Linked DNA regions of Anolis sagrei. The protein of the gene in region 2 purifies or fractionates together with the protein of the main gene of each other region. This does not show direct contact. Links are inferred from orthologs where the notes say so. Each region holds a gene or a part of one and is shown on either strand. Other genes may lie near its edges. The genes, in order: CCP110, KIF24 and CEP97.

Region 1 (7,433 bases), on a different chromosome or scaffold from region 2:
GATAAAGATGTCCGTACTCCAATATAGAAAATCAGGTCTAAAGTATGGCCGGCCCGATGAGTGGGGCGAGTCTTGATTAATGAGAGCCCCAAAGTTTCCAAGGTTAGTACTAGGTCCTTAGTTACTGATGAGGATGACGGTGCCTCGGCATGTACATTGAAGTCACCCAGGACAATAAGTCTGGGGAAACTCAGGGCCCAGTCCGCAACAAGATCTAATAGCTTAAGCAGACTCTCTCCCAGTGACCCCGGTGCACGGTAAACGACAAGAATGGCTAAGGATTCCCTACTGGCCAAGACCGCACCGAGACATTCGATGCCAGCTATCTTTGGAGTTGGAACAATTTTGATGGTTATCACCCAAAGAATAGAATAGAATAACTTTGTTGTCATTGTACATCGTACAACAAAATTAAATGCCATCCCCAATGCACATTATATATGTAGAATTACAAAACAAGACACCCATCCTTCCACATTCTAATCACTATCGCACACTCCCAAATGCCACATCAGCTCCTAGAAAGCTACGGAAAAGTGGTCTATATGCAAATATAAATCATGTTGAGACTGCTATGGTTGCCTTACTGGATGATCACAGTCTCAACACTGACAAGGCATTTGCGTCCCTGTTGGTGCTTCTAAGATCTCTCAGCGGCCTTTGATACCATCAACCAGGGTATTCTTCTGGAACGCCTGGGAATCCATCAGAGGCAAGGTGCTGCAGTGGTTCCGATTGTTCCTCTCAGGCAGGTTCCAGATGGTGGAGCTTGGGGATAGCTGCTTCTCCCAAAAAAGGAGCAGTTTTCTGGCGTCCCACAAGGGCTCATTCTATTCCCAATGCTCTTTAATATTTGCATGAAGCCACTGGGAAAGATCATCCATAGGCATGTGGTGGGGTGTTATCAGCATGCTGAGGACACCCAAATATATTTCTCCATGCCCTCCAAAAGAGCTTCAGCTAAGGATAGCGTGTCTCCTCTGAATGAATGCCTGGAGGAGGTAATGGGCTGGATGAGGAAAAACAAACTGAAACTGAATCCAGACAAAACAGAGGTGAGCATATTACACTTATCCTAAAGTCACTCCACAGGCTGCCAATTAGTTTCTGGGCAAAGTACAAAGTGTTGGTATTGACCTTTAAAGCCCTACATGGACTGGTATGTTCAGCAAAGGAAAAGAGTGATCCTCTCACCACTGCAGGAGTCTATTGCATACCAAGCAGGTGTGGACAAAAAGTCTACATAGTAATGGTAAACGTTTCCCCTGACATTAAGTCTAGTCGAGTCTGACTCTGGGGGGTGGTGCTCATCTCCATTTCTAAGCCGGCATTCTCTAGACGCTTCCAAGATCACGTGGCTGGCATGACTGCATGGAGTGTCGTTACCCTCCCTTCGGAGCTGTACCTATTAATCTACTCACATTTGCAAGTTTTTAAATTGCTATGTTGGCAGAAGCTGAGGCTAACAACGAGAGCTCACTTGATCCATGGATTCGAACCACCAACCTTCTTGTCAGCAAGTTCTGCAGCTTAGCGGTTTGACCTGCTGCGCCATCACAGCCCCATGAAGTCTACATAGAGACCTCCAAACACAGCAGCATTACTCAGACACGAATCAAGGAACACAAAAGGCACTGCAGACTAATTCCACCAGAGAAGACAGCCATAGCAGAGCATGTGATGAACCAACCTGGACATAAATGTAATCTGAGAACACAGAAATGCTGTGCCACGCTGACAACCACCATGTCGGACTACGCAGAGAAGCCACTGAAATCCACAATAAACACATGGACAATTTCAACAGAAAGGAGGAAACCATGAAAATGAACAAATTCTGGTTACCAGTATTGAAAAAACACCAGAATCAAGACAGTAAATAAAGAATAACTTTTTAAAAAACAGGGGGACTCCAGACAGCAAACAATCAAGTGCCAGTTTTTTGGGGGTTTTTTGTCGTGTCAGTAGTGACTTGAGAAACTGCAAGTCGCTTCTGGTGTGAGAGAACTGGCTGTCTGCAAGGATGTTGCCCAGGGGATGCCCGGATGTTTTGATGTTATTGCCATCCTTGTGGGAGGCTTCTCTCATGTCCCCACATGAGGAGCTGGAGCTGATAAAGGGAGCTCATCCACGCTCCCTGGATTCGAACCTGTCGGTCTTCAGTCCTGCCAGCACAGGGGTTTAACCCACTGCACCACCGGGGGCTCCTGTAAGTGCCAGTTAATACCTCACAAACAGAGAATGTCCTCGGGCAACAACTACCAGGCTTTGCAGGTGCAAGGCTTTTCAATGCTAATCAAAACTGGCTAATTGCAACATTCACACTTGCTTCAAGCGGACAAAGGCTCTTCCTCCCACCGTGGACATGATTCCACAGATATAGATACACTGCACCTGCCTCCGAGTGTGCATTAGCCACAGATGCAGGCACAACGTCAGGAGAGAAAGCTATTGGAACATGGCCTGACAGCCCGACAAACTCACAGCAACCCAAGGGAATTACTATTTCCAATTAGACATTGATCACCCAGGCACAAAAACCAGTGTGATTCACAAAAAGCCCCAACCAAACAACTGCTACTTCTAATATTCATGATTCCAAAAGGATAAAAAAGGGGCCCGGCGTTTATATTATTAGGTATCCTCATCGAATAGGAGGCTGAAACCTCCATTTGGGCCTAGAAGTTCCTCCGTTCTTTGCACACGCCACGAGCAGCCCGTCATCTTCATTTTCTTCTAAAAGCATGTATCGTTAGCTCTGAAACGGTTCCGCCATGTACCTCGTCTCGTCAAAGCTCCTTCCTTCGTGTCTAGGGCCACTCACCGTGAGGGCGTCGCTCGCTCTCCCCGCCTTCCTGGTTTCTGCTCCTCGCGCCTTGTCTCTAGGTTACCGAAACCGGAAGTCGGGAAAGGGAAGCTCCGCTTCTTCCGCCTTAAGCGCGATGGCCTGCTGGGAGTTGTAGTTTGTGGCAAGATGACGCTGCAGTGCGCCTTGGGGCTTACTCTACCGCCATGAACTTGGCCTGAACCGTTGCTAATAAAATAGGAGTAGTAGTAGTAGTAGTAGTAGTAGTATCAGTGATATGAAAAATATCAGATTATAACAATATAAAAAGATAGCAAAATAACATCATAATATGATCTGAAAAGAGCAAATGGTAATATTAAGAAACATAAAAAATAGCTAATGATAATGATAGTGTGTGATAACAATATGAAGTAATATGAAAAAATAGCAAATAATAATGAAGGGAGACGCGCCCGAAAGCTCGGCTCCCTATTGGCTGAGGACGGAAGGGGCGCCGCGCGGCGATTGGCTGGCTCTTGGGACTTCAACTCCCAGAAGCCTTCGCCAGCTTCGCGAACAGCGAGGAATTCTGGTAGTTGAAGTCTCGAGGGTAAGCGATGACGGCTGAGGTGGGAAGCAGGTTCAAATGGATTGAAGAGAGACACGCCTCAGAGCTCGGTTCTTTATTGGCTGAGGTCGGCAGCGATTGGGAGACGCTACGTGATGATTGGCGGTCGCCGGCATGGCGCCGCGCGGTGATTGGCTGAGGCCCTCGCGCCGCTGCGATTGTGTGTTGGCGGCGGATCACTTCCGGGTTCGCCTCAGTCGCCTCCGCGGCCGCGCGGGGAGAAGCAAGTCTCCCCGGCGCTCCTGCCGCCGCCGCCGCCGCCATGTTCTGCTACTGCGAGGGCCTGTTGGCGGCCTTCTCGGTGCTGTTAATGGCGGCGCTGGCGCTGAGCCGGAGCGCGACGCTGTCCTGCCTCCTGACGGGCGGGGCCTACCTGGCGCTGCGGCTCTTCAGCTTGGAGCCCGTCCCCTTGGAGCGGGCCCGGCTGGTGGTGCAGCCCCGAGGGAACCCGGCCCGCGTGGCCCACCGCGGAGGAGGGCACGACGCGCCCGAGAACACCCTCGCCGCCATCAGGCAGGTCGGTGGGTCAGGCAGCAGGCGCCTTCAGGCCAGGGCCGACCTGTATTATTATTATTAGTATTATTATTATTAAACTTTATTTGTACCCCGCTAGCATCTCCCGCAGGACTCGATGCGGCTTACAAAGGCCAAGGCCTCAACAAACAATACAACAATACAAAACCTAGGCAAGTTAAAACAATTAAAGCCATCTAAAACAACAAGCAAAGAACAATCCACTAAGGCACAATAAAACTGGGCCGGGCCAGAGTAAGGGTACAAGGGTTAAAAGGGCTGATGTGACAGGTGGAAATGAGGCTTATGGGCGTGTGCAGTGTGCAGTGTGCGGCGGTCTTGGCTTTAATAAAGTGCTTGTGGGACTTGGTAATGGAGGTTTCCTATTCGGGAAAGGCACTTCGGAACAGCCAGGTCTTCAAGTTCTTTCTGAAGGCTGCCAATGTAGGGGCCTGTCTAAGATCTTTGGGGAGGGTGTTCCAGAGTCGGGGGGGGGGCACCACGGAAAAGGCCCTGTCTCGTGTCTCCACCAAACGCGCTTGCGACTCAGGTGGGATCACGAGCAGGGCCTCTCCAGATGAACGGAAAGAGTGTGTGGGTTCGTAGATGGAGATGCGGTCAGCTGTAGCCGGCAGGCTGTTAGGAATAGTGGGAGTTGAATTCCAAAACACCTGGGGGGAGGGCCGAAGTTGACCCATGCCTGCTGTATAACATGGACCAAAGTCTATCCGTCAGCACCACAAAGGCTGTTGCTAGGTGACGTGTCCCTCTACGAATGGCTGGAATGGCTGTTGCTAGGGGAAGTGGCCCTCTGACATGTTGCCACCCGGCCCTGCAATTCTCTTATCTCAGGTCTCTGCCGTAACTGTTATTACTATTGACTTGGGTTTTTTTATGAATGCAATATTTCACTTTTAAATATGTGTTTGCATATCTATTAACAGTTGTTTTCGGATCTTTATAATGAGCCGATTCAATCATGCAAACGTTGCTTTAGATCTAGATCCAGAGAAAAAAAGGGGAATACAAATATAAGACTAAAACACACTTTCCCCTTTCATATAAACACCTCAAAAAATGGGATAGAATCTGAGACATACACATAGCTTGTTTTTCTGTTGATGGAACTGGAAATATTTTGTTGTTATTATATTTATTTATACTCCGCTTTATCTCCCCAAAGGGGACTCAAAGCAGCTTGACATTAAAGCATTAGTAGACAATTTAAAATATACAGACATTGAAACAGAATTCAATACAAATAGCATTAAAAAAATTCACAATTGAAAATAGTATGCATCTCAGAATCGATGGTGCCTTAGAATTGATGAAATATGCCAATCACCACCACCACAACGAACCTTTTACATCTATATAAATAAAAATGTAATGTTTGTTTGTGGGATTAACATAACTCAAAAACCACTTGACGAATTGACACAAAATTTGAACACAATATACCTAACAGTCAAATGAGTGTCCATCACCCATAAACACACACGCACACAAAAAAACCCCAGAGGAACAGACTTAAAAATCCAAAAGAAAACACCATATATACGAATACACATAACACTCATACATATGTACATGCACACATTCACACACACATTCACGTAATATATATGCACAAACACACACAAAGATACCCATATACACACATACATATACATACACACATACATACATATACACATCTACATATACATGCACACACATATACATATCCGCATACATACATATATACACACAAATATGCATATAGACAAGCACACACATATACACAATCTGCATGTACACACATATATGCACTTATATATATACACACACATATATACACACACTAAACACATATACAGAGACTGGGCCACAGCATGTGGAAGGGGATGGCTTGTGTGTGTGTATAAACAGGAATGAAGAAAAAGCCACCAAGAGAGCACTGTTGCCATGAAGACATTATGAGGGAGGCCCCCTTCATAGTTGGAGAAGGGAGAACGAGGAGGGGAAGGAAGGAAGGAAAGGAAAGAGAAAAAGAAGGGAAAGGAAGAATGAGTGGGAGGAGGGAAGAGCCCTGTTGGCATTTGAGTTACAAAAAAAGAATATCAAGGGTGAGATGGATCCTTAAGAATGCTCTGAGCTTTCTTAAGACTGTGGGACTTATAAGGTTCTTCCAAAGAGGGGGGAAAGAGGGCAACCAATGATTCTCTGTACAGAAGTGGTGACCCTTTGGATCGCCTTCCTATCTGCCACTGTGCAGTTACCAAACTAGGCACAGATACAGTCAGTAAAATTGCATTTTACCACTTCCCCATCATTTCTGTACCTTGTATAGATCCTGTCGGGCCTCACAATTACCGTAATTTCAAAGTATGGATGAGCCTAAGCAGTTTTGAGATACGCAACAACTATCCTGCCCTCATTTATTTATTTATTGCATGCATCCATAACACTGTCTTCACAATCCCAGTCTCCATGGAGGACATGAACCAGCACCAAACCGTTTGGTAGGCCTGTCCTGATTAGAGAAATCGTTTGATTGATGGCATTGGCATAGATAGGTCATTTGTTCATTTGCATCATTTCCAGTGTCATGCTATCCAGATGTAAATTAAAATGTAAATCATGCATTCATATCCTTGTTCATGATTAAAGCAGGTTTTATTTTTTTATTAAGGCAGCTGAGAATGGAGCAACTGGTGTGGAAATTGATCTCGAATTCACTGCCGACGGCATTCCTGTCCTGATGCATGACAGCACCGTAGACAGAACTACGGACGGGTCTGGAAATTTACGTGATTTGACGTTTGCTGAGATTCGGCGATACAATCCATGCGCTAAGCACAGATTATGGTATGTGAAAAATGTATAGAACACCACCATTCATATCTTGGAAAATTGTTGTCTGCCTTCAAGTTATTTCTGACTTAGGCCTTGAAGAAAGGGTGAAATATAAACTATTTCTGCTTAAAGTCAGATCTGTTGTCCATCTCAGAATAAATAACTATAAGATGTATCCTTGTACACAAACGAGATAATATTGTTTGTCAGGGCGAGGAGGCTGTCCTTGAGAGCTTGAAGATTCTTCCCGTGGTTTTTGTGGAGTGTATTTTTAGATGCATCATGGCAATTCAGTGAAGCATTGTTCCTTTTTTTGGACCGGACATTTTCTTGCTTCTTGGCAGGGGTTTGGACTGGATAGCCCACGAGGTCTCTCTCAACTCTACAATTCAATGATTCTATGAATGCACATTACTGAAATATTCAACTTTTTTTTCTTACAGGAGGGATTATCGTGGAGAGAAAATACCGACACTGAAAGAAGCTGTTTTGGAAAGTATGCATTATGACCTTATCATCTACTTTGATGTTAAAGGCCATGCTGATCAGGTACCTCTTTGTTAGAATGCTTTAAACCTCATGTGCTTGTTGGACCTCACATGGTAGAGCTCACTTAACGTTGTACAAGATGGAGAATTTTCTTGAAAAATTGTTGATGCCTTTATT
Region 2 (7,889 bases):
CAATGATCCTTGAGGTCCCTTCTATTTCTATGATTTTATGAACTTCTCCTCCCAAATACAACAAGGGAAGTACAGCAGGAAGTTTCTCCCTCCAAGATCCATATTCCTGCTTCTTTTTCCACCTGCTGGTACACACAAGAGGCACTAACAATGTGCTCATATCAATATTTGTTAAAGCCACATAATTTGATTATATATTCATGAGACAATATCAAAAGTTATACAAAAAAGAGACACAATGTTCAAAGCTGTAACCATTCCATACTTTGACTAAAAGGTATCAGTTCCTCCAAACATACAGTCCTGCAGCAAAGCAGGCTTCCCAATAAATGGGTTCATAAGTTATGATGGCGCAATGGGTGGGGATCTGGGAGGAATTTGTCGCCCAGATTTAAACTTTGGCTTGAACAGCAGCTGTTGTATTTGCATGTGCATGCATGAACTAAGAGATCACATAGTAGAACAAGAAAGTCAAACTGAATGGCTGGCTGGCTGGTCCTATTTGACCAAACACATGAAAACACTTCCTTCACTGACTGAGAGAACTGGGTTCAATTTGCAACTTCATACTGCAAACCTATGTATTAGAGTCATACATATTTTCAGTGAGGATACAAGAAGAAACTCAGCAGCCATGTTTAGGAAGAAGAAGAAGAAGAAAGCCAAGACAATGACAGCAGAGGAATCAATCCTGTATACACCTGATGGGGTCAAAACTCATTTGATTTATCTGTCTTGAATTTCCCACCTTTCAGATGACCCTAGATTCTAATATTACGTTTTCACTATCCACGTTCATCAAACTAGGCATAGTTTTATAACTTTCTATGTCCTCGAGCTCACAAGATGTGATACAGGACAAAAGTGGGTGAAGAAGAAAAGCATGTCTCCAAATCACAAGTTTACAACTGATCTTCTAATGTGCAGATGACTATCACTTGATGCTCACAGGGAATTACTCTGGTTTTCTTGCAGCCTACTATACTGTTTACAGTTAATGAAGGAATGTGCCTGCTGATTCAAATCGTCAAGTTTTTCAGTTACATGCTCAATTCAACACATACTAATTTAGTCTTTTCATTCAGCATAAGTGCTGTAAATTGTAAAGGCAGGTGGAAAACACTTGTTTTAAAAAAGCAGAAAATTTTATTGTGGTTCATGCTCACGCTGTATTTAGAATTTTGCAGATAAACATTTGCCTTTACTACCTTCAACTCAAAAAATGTAGTCAATTTATCCCCTTTCTGGCCAATTTAATCCATTTCCCTTGTAAATCCTTATCCATTTTCCAATCACTCTTTCCCTATAACTTTAGCTGATGATCTCACTGAACAACCCTCCGCACCACAACTGATGCAACAACTGCTTTGAGACAACAGCTGTTGCAGGGTATGAAAACGTCTCATTTTCATGGTGCATGCATAAAATAAATTTGTTATTCTGGGTGGGTGATTATTTTAAAGTTGTGCATGATTCTTTCCAGTAAGCAATGCCACCAGAAATGCAAATCTGTTTCTATATAAAGGAAATGTGTTGTTATATACATAGGTACAACTTCATTCCTTGTGTTTTGGTTGCTGTGTTAGTGGCTTCTGTTACATGGCAACCAGTTTCTGCCTTTCAAGTTAAAGCAGAGGGGGGTGGTTAGACTTCACCAAGAGCTTCCTGCTTCAGCTTGAGCTGAGAGAGGGACATTCCAAAGCCCTAAAATGTCCTCTGAGCTATGGCATTGGGAATTATGCCTATGGCAGGTCCAGAAAGTGAACAACCAAGAAAGTATGGAGGACATGTTGCACTTCATTGATTGCTGCATTTCATTTTCTTTGCCTACAGTGAAAAGCAGGATGCAACACCAAGACTGTATGGTAAAGCACACAATTCACTACCAAGACCCTAAAAAGGTTTTCCGACCATTCCAACTGCCACAGCCCTGGCCCAGGAAAGGAGATGCAAGCACAGCTCCATGTCCCACAAGCAAATGAAAGGCCATCCACCCTTCATACCAACTGCCCCTGTTGTGGGCTCAGAAAGAACAGGCAGCACAGCTCCATCATGCTAGGCCCAGGAGGAGAAGAACCCCCCCCCCCCCAATTCCAACTGCCATAGCCCAAGCCTCAGAAGAAAAGGAAGATCAGGCATGGGTCCATAATGCTTAAGGCCTCCATCCATCCTAACCGCCACAGTCTTGGTCCCAGAGGGAGAGAAGCAGCATCAGCATCTGCTAGACTTAATTCCCTCCTCCACTTCCATCCTCTTTCTGTGTGCATCCTGCTTTCAGACCACTTATGGGATGAAACATTGCTGCTTGGAAGTTTCAGTGAGACTCTTTCCTAATATCTTGTAGAGTCTAAAGGAGGTGAAAATTCTTCAACACAGAGAATTAGCCCCTTTGGCATGCTGAAAGCCCATCGCTGCAGTAAATCCAGTTGGAAGCTGAATAACAGAATAACAGTACTCTTCTCAAGAGATTCAAAAAGCATTTTGCTCTGCCTTGCAAGAAAGTTTAGTCAAGGTGGAAAAGCTCAGAATCTAATTTGCACCCCAAAGACATAAAAACATTACATGAAAGTAGTAAAGGAACAGGACCGCCAATTCGTTCATTGCAATCTCCCTTCTCATTTCAAGGAAAGTGGAGAACCAAAAGCCAAGGATCCTCTCAAGGTATAAAGAAAAAGAGAGATTCTGGTACTCTCACTGGTATTCCACACCAAACCAGATAGAAATATGAAAAATAATTCTGAAGCCCTCTTCATTTCCAACTGTACGAAAACTGTATACTCAGAGAGAAGCTAATTTCACCGCAGCATGGTCTTGTCTGGAAAATACATTGTCTACAAACATTGTAACATCCCCATCAGTGTAATTAGTTTGTTTGCATCTATTCTAAAATGTTGACACCTGCACAATAGCTCAAGTGTTAAATGTCTGTGTAGCAAAGATTCTGCACGTGAAACAAGCTAGGCAAATGCAATGAAATGAGCACTTACTTATTACATTTTTATTCTCTCTTTCCTCCCAGGAGCTTGGAATGGCATCCACATTTCCTACCACCCATGTCAGCTTCAGAAAAATCTTGTGAGTAAAGTAAGATAAAATGCCTGGATGAAAGTCAGCCAATAGTCTTAGGAACTTGAGAGCTGAAAGGGACCAAAAGGGTCAATCTAGTCCAAATCCCTGCTTCATGGTGGATTGCAATCTTCAGGAGCATCTCTCTACTTCTAGCCCGCCACTGTAGTGACTCCACCGGTCCTCAGGTATCACTCTATGATGGAAAGTAAAAGGCCCAGTAAGACTATAGGAAAACAGTGAGGTAATCTCTTCCCAAGTAATCATTGTAATCCCCACAGTAATCTCTGTTTAGAGGAGTCCAGCCCAACAGCATAACATAACAATAGTAAAATAAAACATAAGGAAGTCAGTGCGTAGACCTGAGCTGGGATTTATGTCTGTGCCAATCCAATTAGTAGTGCAGAACTACCCACTTTAAGAAAAATAAAAAGCTTATGTGCTTTGCAGCAGCAAAACCTCACCTTAGAATCTAGGGTGACAAGCTTCATTTTAGACCTTAAGATATGGGCCAAACCGCAACCCAGTGTCTGCACCTAATCCAATAAAGGCAACAAACAACTTGGATCTGGAAATTCACAATTTAAATCCATGAAATAGCCTGGGAAACATCCTGTTAGTGACTTACACATTCATAGGTCTGGCCTACATGTATGTCACCTGTTTTGGGTGGGAGGAAGAGGCAATTCTCTTCACCTATCAAGTCCTAAGAGGGAAACACCGCCAATGCTTTATAACAAGGAGGGAGGGGGTAATTCAGATATGGAAGAATTGGTGGCTCTTGTTCTCCAAGGAAAAGGAGGACACTTTCACTGTAGCCCCTTCTCCATAGCTGAGATCAGATACTTCCTCCTCTGAATGATCTCCTTCCTCCCACATCTCTCAATCACTGTAACAGCAGGATTTTCAGAGCTGCTGGGATGGAGGAATCACCCAAAAATGAGCAGGCGGTGCATTGTACTCTACCTGCTCAGTGCTCTCTCCCAGCCTAATGTCTTTCCTGGAGCTGCAGTAGAAATGTTCAGAGGCAGCAGGAATGAATACCCCGCAACTTGCAGAAGCTCTAACCAGCCTAGTTGACCATGAAGACTTCTGAGAACTACAGCCCAAGGACAACAGGAGGATCACGATTCCCTAACACAGTTCAGGTTTGCCTTTATTGATGGCCATGCATCACTGAATTCTAGCATCTTCCGTGGTACCAATCACCTTACTTTGTCTGCTACTGGTGGGGCCAGTGTATCCCTCCAGGTCACAATTCTTCACAGCCTGGTGACATCCCATCTAGATTACTGCACTGCACAAGATTTCTCTTTGGAAGGTAATTTGGCATAGCTGCTCTTGGTTCAAAATTCACCGGATTATTGAGTGGAACTAGGTGAAAGGAAGACAGCAGTGATGGCTCCTAGCCAAATCCAAATTCCTGGCATTAAAGTTTAATGACTGGCTTTTTCTTATATAAAGATCTCTTCTAGTGAAATAGAAGAGTGAAATAGACTAAAGAGCAGATCTTCCATTATAAGGCATTATAAGGCCAATGCCACCTCACACTTTTAACTGGATTATTTAAAGGGATTTCGAAGTGAGAACTGAGTGCATTATCTTTTTTGACAAAGCTCCTAAGGAAGAACTTAACTCCTAAAGTGCCCTAAAATACATGTGAACCACTGAGAGTGCAAATGCATTGCTCCTATTGTCAGTATTATCACATATTTATATATTGCCAAAAATGGCCTAGCACTTGATGAGTTCAACTACCCAAAACATACACAAGCCACTCTAAACACCTTTGCAGAAGCATACAAAAAACTTGGCCTTCCACTGAACACCAAGAAAACCAAAGTGCTATTTCACCAAAAGGCACCAGCCAATCCGTTTGCAATGCCAGAAATACAACTTTATGGTGTAACGTTAGAAAACTTTGACCATTTCCGCTACCTTGGCAGCCACCTCTCCAGAAAAGTCAACATCAACGCTGAAATACAACACTGTCTGCTTTGCTTTGCAAATGCAGAATTTTCTCAAATGAAGCAGAGAGTGTTTGAGGATCGAGACATCTATTGGGAGAACAAGATACTTGTTTATAAAGCTATGGTCCTACCAACCCTGTTATCATAAAATCATAGAATAATAGAGTTGGACAAGACCTGGTGGGCCATCCAGTCCAACTCCATTCTGCCAAGAAGCAGGAAAATTGCATCCAGCCTCTGTTTAAAGTCTCCAAAGGAGCCTCCACCACGCTCCGGGGCAGAGAGTTCCACTGCTAAACAGTTCTCACAGTCAGGAAGTTCTTCATAATGTTCAGATGGAATCTCCTTTCTTGTAGTTTGAAGTCCTAGTCTCCAGGGCAGCAGAAAACAAGTTCGCTCCCTCCTCCCTATGACTTCTTCTCAGCCTTCTCTTCTTCCGGCTAAACATGCCCAGCTCTTTAAGCTATACATTATATTTATACATTTATTATACTATTTCCCTTTGTATTTTTAAGATTATTTTTACGATATATATATTAATTATACATTACATTATGCTATTTCCTTCTGTATATTTATAATGTCTTTTACTCTCTCTCTCTCTCTCTCTCTCTCTCTCTATATATATATACACACTAGATACTAGAGACAAAGTGGAAGTCCTTTGGCCACATCATGAGGAGACAGCAAAGCCTAGAGAAGACAATTATGCTGGGGAAAGTGAAAGGTAAAAGGAAGAGGGGCCGACCAAGGGCAAGATGGATGGATGGCATCCTTGAAGTGACTGGACTGACCTTGAAGGAGCTGGGGATGGTGACTGCCGACAGGGAGCTCTGGCGTGGGCTGGTCCATGAGGTCACGAAGAGTCGGAAACGACTGAACGAATGAACAACAACAACAACAACAACAACACACACACACATATATATAACGCATTATATTATTCTATTTCTGTGTATGTGCATATCACAGAGTAATAGAATAATAGAATCAAAGAGTTGGAAGAGACCTCATGGGCCATCCAGTCCAACCCCATTCTGCCAAGAAGCAGGAATATTGCATTCAAATCACCCTTGACAGATGGCCATCCAGCCTCTGTTTCAAAGCTTCCAAAGGAGGAGCCTCCACCACACTCTGGGGCAGAGAGTTCCACTGCTGAACGGCTCTCACAGTCAGGAAGTTCTTCCTCATGTTCAGATGGAATCTCCTCTCTTGTAGTTTGAAGCCATTGTTCCCTTGCGTCCTAGTCTCCAGGGAAGTAGAAAACAAGCTTGCTCCCTCCTCCCTGTGGCTTCCTCTCACATATTTATACATGGCTATCACATCTCCTCTCAGCCTTCTCTTCTTCAGGCTAAACATGCCCAGCTTCTTAAGCCGCTCCTCATAGGGCTTGTTCTCCAGACCTTTTATCATTTTAGTCGCCCTCCTCTGGACACACTCCAGCTTGTCAATATCTCTCTTGAATTGTGGTGCCCAGAATTGGACACAATATTCCAGGTAAAGTGGTCTAACCAAAGCATATGTAAATATTATATACACACACACACACACATATACACACATATACACACAAAGAGAGGGGAGGTATAATAAAACAAAAACTCAGTAATATAATTATAAACCAAATGATCTAGGTAAAATTGGAAGAAAAGCAATTATATATATAAATCCAGATCAATTTAGTATTACCTCTCACTCATTTCCTTCATAAACGGCTTGTCACCTTGGCGACAGGAAAGCAGAGGCCTAGTCTTGTCAACAAAAAAGAAACAGGCTCGAAATAACTTGTGAATACAAAGATACGTGAAGGAAGGCCGCAAACAAGCAAGACTGAGGCGAACTCGAGAGGCGCCGCCTAGGCCGCGCGTTTCCAAGGCAACGCCGCCAAGCGTGGCGTTCAAAGCCTCGCGCCCGCACGCCGCGCCGGCGACGTCCACAAAACCACCCAATGGGAATCCAGGAAGCGAAAGGGGCGGGGCTACGTCTGGCCAATCAAGAAAGCGGACGTAAAGTCTCAGTCCCCGCCCCTTTATTCGCTTCTTCCGTCCCTCAAGTTTAGCTAGACTTGTCATCCTCCGTCCAATAAGGAAAGAACCTCACCTTTTCCCTCTGATTGGTGGATCCGCCTGTCAATCGTAGTTTGAAATCTAATCAAAGCTCCGTTTTTATTACACCGCTCCGCCCTCGCTGCTCGGTCATGTCAAAGGCAGGCAACTGTTGCTAGGGCAACCACATAGCTCCCCCCAATTGGTGAATCTGCCTGTCAATCTTAGTTTGAAATCGAATCAAAGCTCTGTATTTACTACACCGCTCCGCCCTCGCTGCTCGGTCACGTCAAAGGCGGGCAATTGTTGCTAGGGCAACCACGTAGCTCCCCCAATTGGTGGATCTGACTGTCAATCTTAGTTTGAACTCTAATCAAAGCTCTGTTTTTAATACACCGCTCCTCCCTCGCTGCCCTGTCACGTAAAGGCGGGCAGCTGTTGCTAGGGTAACCGTCTTGCCTCATTCTGATTGGATGCAACGATTGCAGGGCTGGTTGACACGGAGATTGACAAGCGTGTGGACCAATCAGGAAGCTCCATTGCAGTCAGGCTCTGTGCAGGTCTTTCCTTTTAGTCTCTAAAGGAGGAAACAGCCTGATTGGGTGAGTTAAGTCATTTTCTTAAAATCCCACATTTAGTGTGCAATAAATGAAATATTATTTAGTGTATTTATTTCTATATTAAATATTATTGGATTTCATAGGTTAAACTTGCAGTTTAAAATCAAACTATCAAAATATTGTTATGATTAATATAATAACAAATATTATATAATAATAAATATTATTATGATTTCCACCAGAGTGGA
Region 3 (7,368 bases), on a different chromosome or scaffold from region 2:
AAAACATGCATGAAAACTTGCAGAATTCAACATGTTATCTTATATTCATACTTATTAAAGTTGGCATAGCTTCAATATGAAACTTACTGAAAATCTACAAAAAGAACATATACCAAAACATTGGGGGTGCAACTGTAAAAAGGCTAATGGCATGTTTCTATCACAGAGACAACTAACCTGTAGCAGGTTCCTGAAATTCTCCAGGTGCTCCAATTTAGTTAGCTGGTTTTTATCCAGAACCAAAGTATGTGCATCAGCATCGCAGGATAAAGTGGGTCCCAACTTTTGTAAACCCTGACCTGACCAATTAACTAATGAACCTATGAGAATAGAGGAAAGATCAAAGTGTATCAGTCTCAAAAATGGTCATGTTACATACTGTTGCATGCACCAGTGTTAAAAAACACATGTCACCTGCTTCCCAGATTCTAACACCTAAAAATGGTTTGTGTTTGGTCTGGCTCATTCAACTGTCTGCCTTTCTGGAATGTCAACTCATTTGGTGGAACTTTTAAGTCAAACGATGCTTCACCAACATGGTGCCATTCAGCTATTTAGTTAAGGAGTTTTTTTGAGATGACATTCGGCATATGTGACATGCACCAGGTGCTTTGAAATGTCTCATATTCCTGACAAAGAGTGTTCAATACACACCAAGGAAAAGTTTCATAATAAAGTAAGGTCTATACCTGTCTTCTCCTACTTGTTTCTCGCTGTTGTTATTGCAGAACAGCCCCACCCAACTGTTGTTGCCACTGTTGCTAATCTACCATGGTAAAGTGGTTCTGAATGCATTCCTTGGAGATAGTAAGGTGTTTATTAAATTTTGATATGAAAATGTAGTACAATATGTTATTTTTTACTCCATTTCTACCCTGTTCTTCTCACCCCGAAGGGTACTACAAACTATGGCAAAAATTCAATGCAATATCATGCACATAACAATAAACATACCATATTAAATTATAAAACAGCTAAAACATATAAACAGTTAAAAACATACAAAACTGCAATACAGATTAAAACATAAGCTTGAGAGGGTTTTTTTTCTTCTTCTTATAACCAAAACATACCATAAGTTTTCTTCATACCTGAAAGCTTATTTTACTAAAATGAGAAACCTGGGGCCTAGAGAGTCAAGGAAGGGTCTCTAAATTTCTGACAGCAGAAAAAAAACCCCTGACAACACTTTTAAAGGCCTCCACTCTTCTTATAATCTCCTGTACACCGAAATCATTTTCTTGAAGAACAATTTGAAACTGTATTGAATAGTTAGTGCAGATGTGCCCTATGTGGGCAATGGGCATGCATAGGACTGAACTTTATGGTTTATTCTATGAATAGAGAATAGTAGCAAATAGGTTGATAACTTCACATTCCTAAGCATTGAGGATTTTTAGAAACAAATAGTGCAAAATTAAATCACAGATCAGCATGCTTCATATAGTTTTTAACCAAAAGCCTCTGCTTATGCTCCAAACCTGGTAGAAAGCCACACCTTTTGACTTTATCCCCAATTCTAATATTTTTAGGGAAAAGGCTACATCTCAATGTTCAGAAGCTGAGGATGGGTACTCTGTGCATGTTCAAACACACTCCGTTGTCCTTACTATTTTATAACACAATTTATTTTACAATAAAATTATACTGCATTCCATTGTATATTTCATGTAATATTACTAATAATTTTGCAGAACAGTGGTATAGTAGAATTAACTGGCCCTGATTATTTCTTGTCTGGAATTCCCCTGTTTCTGAGTGTTGTTCTTGATTTTGGAGTTTCTTTAATATTGGAAGCCAGTTTTTGTTTTTTCATTTCCGTGGTTTCTTCCTTTTTGTTGAAATTGTCCAGATGATTGGGGATTTCAATTGAAATCCCAGACAAGAAACAGAACCAGGCAATCACCTCCCAACAAAGGATTCCCCCAGGCAGGAAGCGGCCAAAGCTTTGAAGATGCAAGGCCATTAAATGCTAATCAATGTGGCCAATTGTAGCATTCACACTTGCCTCAAACAGACAAGAGTTCTTTCTCCCACAGATATATAAAACCCACTTGCCTAGTTCCCAACAAACCTCACAACCTCTGAGGATGCCTGCCATAGATATGGGCAAACCGTCAGGAGAGAATGCTTCTGGAACATGGCCATACAGCCCAGAAAACTCACAACCCAAAACCTGCATTTTCTGCAACACCATTCTCTGCGAAGACAGGTTGTTTCTTTGCGAAAAAGTTGCTCAAGATTTTTGGTTTGATTCCTCAAGACTGCCTAACATTCAAATACAGACATTTCTGCATTTTTCCAAGTATTCAAAGCTCTATTGTTATTACTATAATAGTAGAAGGCCTCAGTCTTGGCACTCAAAGCAGAAATAAGTCAGATAAAGAGCCTGTTCCACAGAAATGTTCCTCATTCTAACCACCCCATTTACCTCCAGTATCAGGATCATCATACAGAGGGGTAAACAGCTAGATATTTTTAAAAAGGAATGACAGAAACACCTCCCAACCACTGTCTGTTACACTTATATGGTCGACCGCACCTGCCATTAGAAATCCACTTTATATGCACGAATAGAGAGAAGCCGCAAAGGAAGGAAGATTTAGAGACAAAGGGGCTTTGCTTTCCCCCCCCTCACAGCAGACAGAGCTTCCTTGTTCTCCTTCCAAATTGCCTTTGTCACATTATTCCTAATCCTCTCAAAGCAGAGAAAGACAACGGCCTTGCGCAAGATCTTTTGGGATTTGTAGTCCAGCCCTAACAACACACTTAACACGCCAACCAAGTTGAGCGAGGACAAAGACTACAACTCCCACAAGGCCCCGCGGGGGGACCTGCTGAAAAGCCAAACAGCCCTGCCGGGGTACTTTTTGCCGCCTTTCCCCGCTTTGCCTTCCTCGCAAAGCGACAGCACACAATCCTGAACCGAGAGGCGCACCTTCCTTGCCGCTCATTCTTGCCTTCGACGCCTCAGGCCTCTTCCCTTCGGTCGCCGCCGCCATATTTCCCGCTTGCTCCCAACGCTAGGCAACCGCGCCGGCGCCGGACGCTGATTGGTCAAATCCACTCGGCGGAAAAAAAATATTTCCGGCTATTAATGAGCACCTCCTTGTTTCCCGTCGTGCCCCGCGCGGGGAGTATAAGAAGGCGTTTTCCCATGATCCTCTCTTTCTCTTCGCCGCTGGAGTTGCCTCCGAGGCGAGCCGGCTGCCATCATGAAGTAAGGAACCGGGATGAGGCGGTGTTTAATCCGGCGCCATCCTCCGGTTTGGGGGCTCGGTGGGGCGGGAAAGGTTGTGAGTTCCGCGCTTTGTCGCTCGCTGACGCTTCCCCATTCTTCCTTTCTCGCGCTTCAGGGTCGAGCTATGCAGCTTCAGTGGGTACAAGATCTACCCGGGCCACGGCCGACGCTACGCGAGGACAGATGGCAAGGCAAGAGAAAAGATGGGCCAAGGAGCCGACGAAATCATACAATGGGGCCTTGTTATCCTCTGGGGCCTGGTCCTAGAGTTCCCTGCACCCTTAATACAGTAGAGCAGGCATCCTCAAACTGTTTGGGCCTCCAACTCCCAGAATTCCTGACCATTGAACAAGCTCGTTAGGGAATTGGGAGTTGGAGGGCCGCAGTTTGAGGATGCCTGTAGTAGAGTCTCGCTTATCCAACCTTCGCTCATCCAGTGTTCTGCATTATCCAACACTGTTAAGTCTCCCACCGAGATCCACAGTTGTTTCAATATATTGTGATGTTTTGGTGCTAATTCGTAAATACAGTAATTACTATATTATGTTACCATGTATTGAACAGCTTTTTCAGTTGATTTGTTATAAAACATATTTTTGGTGCTTAATTTGTAAAATCATAACATAATTCAACATTTAATAGGCTTTTCCTTGATCCCGACTTATTCAACATTTTCGCTTATCCAATGGTCTGCTGCCCCGTTTATGTTGGATAAGCGAGACTGCTGTATTTACATAAAGAGATACTTTGGAGATGGGGTCCAAATCAAAAGATGAGGGTCCAGTTGTGTTTCATATACACTTCTGACACAGAGCCTAAAATTAATTCTAATTAGAGTAGTTTTTGTGCATGAAATAAGTAAAGGTAAGGGTTTCCCCTTGACATTAAGTCCAGTCGTGTCTGACTCTGGGGTGTGGTGCTCATCTCAATTTCTAAGCCGAAGAGTTGGCGTTGTCCGTAGACACCTCCAAGGTCTTGTGGTCGGCATAACTGCATGAAGTGCCGTTACCTTCCCGCTGAAGTGGTACCTCTTGATCTATTCCAGGCATGGGAAAACTTCGGCCCTCTGGGTGTTTTGGACTTTGACTCCTACAATTCATAACAGCCAGTTGAACTCCAAAACACCTAGAGGGCCAAAGTTTTCCCATTCCTGATCTATTCATATTTGCATTTTTTCAAACTGCTAGATTGGCAGAAGCTGGGCCTAACAGTGTGAGCACACCCGGCTCCACAGATTTGAATTGCCAACCTTTCGATCAGCAAGTTCAGTAGCTGAGTGGTTTAAGAGGCTGTGCAGCACTGTGTGCATGAAATGATATAAATAAAATCATCCTGAAATTGTTATTGGGTGCGTCTACATAGTTTGACACGATTTCAATGCCATGCCATGATGCTGTGGAGTCATGGGAGTTGTAGTTTTACAAGCTGTTTCTGCAAAGTGTGCTGTGCTCTCAGACTACAAATCCCAGGATCCCACAGCATTGAGCCAAAGCTCTTAAAAGTGTCAATTTGTAGATGCACCCAGTATCTCAGCCACCTACTGCATTTTGGAGCACTGAAGTGGTATTCATCCTGTAGTGGTTCCAGTAATCTGAGACCTTAGCGTCACTGCATTTTTTGGATTTATAATATTTTAGATCCTGTGAAAGAGCTTTCTAGTCCATCTCTCACCATACACAAAGTTTACATATGTGATAGAAGCTGGTGTGGACCTGTAAGGTTTTTAATGGGGCATACAAGTGGCTTACATGATTTATCAGAAAGAACTTAATTTGACAGTATTTGAACTTTTATGGTAATATGAGCTGTGTCTGTGGTTAGATGTTTCCAAACTTGACTAAAAAATCATCTGATGTTCCAGGTTTTCCAGTTTTTGAATGCAAAATGTGAGTCTGCCTTCCTCTCAAAGAGAAACCCCCGCCAGATCAACTGGACTGTTCTATACAGGCGGAAGCACAAGAAAGGGCAGTCGGTAAATATGTTGTAATATCTTTGTTGAGTCTTTGAAATTGAAAAATTATCATAGTTGCATTGCATTTCTAATCACTTACAGTATTGCTTTATTAAATGGCATTAATAAATTACAAATTACTATTTTGGTTTAACTTTTTAAATATTTCTTGTGTTGTATTGTATCCAGGGATGTAGCATGATCTGTTAAGATAGAGGCTTTAATCTTTCATAATCCCTTTCCTAGAGAACTGGTTTTAGCATTTTGTTGACATTTATGCTTCCCTTGAACTGCTTTTGAAAAGGACAGAAGTGCATGTGTATAGGTTGACAAGTATAGTTTGGAAATACTCGAAGAACGGTTTAGCACTAATAGGCCGATGTTTCCTTAAACATCTGTAGTTAGCTTTTAAAAGCAGGAACAAGGGCTTTTCAGCACAGTCCCATGTTTTCTACTTACAAATAAGTTGAACTTGTTAGGGTTTGGTTCCAGATAAGTAGTTTAAGTGTGCGTCTCAAAAAATGGAACAAACAACCTAAATATATATTGTCATGGTTCTAGGCTCCGTGAATTTCTATGCATCCTATTGAAGGGATTTCAGTTTTGATCAATTCATACATAAGGCAGCCATTGAATCACTCTCACTTTACCTCAGATAATACTAAGATGTTTATCCTTCCAGCAATATAGAGGTTTCTCTATAGTTTGCTTTTCCAAAATTGATTTAATTTTTGTTGAAATGTTGAAAGTAGGTAGCAAGTTAGAAATATCAGATAAAATGACAGAGCATAAAATTGAGAAACACACTGGGACTGGCTTAGACCAAAATAGAAGTGAGTTGTATCACCGATTTTTCACCTAGTTCCGATTTGTTTGCATTTAGCAACTATAGAAATGTTTTTTAAAAGACAGATATAAAATAACAAGGATGGTATTTTTGTGATTTGTTTTTCCACAATAAATACTGTAGCAAAGATTTTAAATAGGTAGTTGCTTAGTTTTGCTGGAAATGATTAAAATTATAACAGCTTTCAAAGATGGTGCTAAAAATATTCTACACATATAGTTGCATTTTTTCCACCAAGGCTTTTTAATTTAAGGTACAGTATGTTAGGAAAGTAGAAACTTAAAATATGAGCAGAATCTTTGAGGCCTACAAAAAATTGCACTTACTCCTTCCACATGGCTTCAGAAAGTATTTAATGTTCCATCTTTTTTTTTTCCATTTTTCAGGAAGAAGTACAAAAGAAACGTACTCGCCGCGCTGTCAAGGGCCATAGAGCCATCACAGGAGCCTCTTTGGCTGAAATCATGGCCAAGAGGAATCAAAAGCCTGAGGTGCGAAAAGCTCAACGGGAACAGGCTATTAGGTGAGCAGTTACCACATATTTCTTGGTTTGCATTTATTTACCATTCCATGGCTACCTCTTTGTATTCAGTGTAAACAAGATACACTGAAATTAATGTAATTTTTTTAAAATGATGCTGAAGCTTTTGACTAGCCTTGGTAAAAAAATGTTATTGTGATCCTATACAATGGGATCTTTTCCTTTCTACTGCCTGATTTCCAAGTTTGAAATGGAGAGGGAGATGTATCCGTATTGTACTGGTTTCATGGCACTTAAGAGTATTCTCCGTTCTCTTACCTAAACAAACTGAATGGAGACTTGAAGGTTATTCAGGGATGTTTCCCACAATAATATGTTCTCTAAGGGCTCCAAGAGTTTTAGAATTTCAGCATCAGTGCCAAAATATCACTAATTGGCTTCTATCTCAGTTATGCTAGTTAGTGTTTATTTTCCTTTTGGTGCATGTTCAGAATGGGATTGCTTTATCAGCAGCTTGCAATGTTCTGCTGTGCCCTTTTACTTTATTTTGTTGTATGAATTGAGTTATGCTGTGATTATAATTAACAGGGCTGCCAAGGAAGCAAAGAAGGCTAAGCAGGCAACTAAGAAGACTGTACCTTCCACAACAAAGGTAATGCTTCTTCAGAGATTTATGTTAAAAATTGCATGTGCTTTTTTCCTTTTCTCCATTAAAAAAATCCCAAATGTATTTACAAATAATTACATACTGCTTAGATCTAGATTTTTCAACCCACAATATGCAAATATAAAAATTGAGGGTTCAGTGCCAGTTTCCTATATGTTTTGTAATAATTTGATGTGGAAAT

What was found.
Region 1: the proteins of KIF24 (region 2) and CCP110 purify together in Homo sapiens (co-immunoprecipitation; 4 studies listed by BioGRID and IntAct, with this or other methods). This does not show direct contact. The link is inferred for Anolis sagrei from reciprocal best matches to the Homo sapiens genes KIF24 and CCP110.
Region 3: the proteins of KIF24 (region 2) and CEP97 purify together in Homo sapiens (co-immunoprecipitation; 4 studies listed by BioGRID and IntAct, with this or other methods). This does not show direct contact. The link is inferred for Anolis sagrei from reciprocal best matches to the Homo sapiens genes KIF24 and CEP97.

The regions. Positions count from the first base shown.
Region 1 is NC_090034.1:25,650,470-25,657,902, reverse strand, and holds the start of CCP110 (centriolar coiled-coil protein of 110 kDa), read right to left. Parts: upstream 3,063-7,433; 5' UTR 2,825-3,062; exon of another isoform or gene 2,781-2,824; intron 1,872-2,780; exon of another isoform or gene 1,481-1,871; intron 1-1,480. Other genes in the region: GDE1 (glycerophosphodiester phosphodiesterase 1), read left to right, coding at 3,679-3,933, 6,604-6,779, 7,211-7,316.
Region 2 is NC_090022.1:298,187,438-298,195,326, forward strand, and holds the start of KIF24 (kinesin-like protein KIF24), read right to left. Parts: upstream 3,043-7,889; 5' UTR 2,988-3,042; intron 1-2,987. UniProt on the Homo sapiens protein: Microtubule-dependent motor protein that acts as a negative regulator of ciliogenesis by mediating recruitment of CCP110 to mother centriole in cycling cells, leading to restrict nucleation of cilia at centrioles.
Region 3 is NC_090023.1:43,163,227-43,170,594, reverse strand, and holds the start of CEP97 (centrosomal protein of 97 kDa), read right to left. Parts: upstream 3,062-7,368; 5' UTR 3,003-3,061; coding exon 2,939-3,002; intron 2,812-2,938; exon of another isoform or gene 2,550-2,811; coding exon of another isoform or gene 2,543-2,549; intron 321-2,542; coding exon 178-320; intron 1-177. Other genes in the region: RPL24 (large ribosomal subunit protein eL24), read left to right, coding at 3,216-3,220, 3,357-3,432, 5,103-5,213, 6,426-6,562, 7,109-7,172. UniProt on the Homo sapiens protein: Acts as a key negative regulator of ciliogenesis in collaboration with CCP110 by capping the mother centriole thereby preventing cilia formation. Required for recruitment of CCP110 to the centrosome.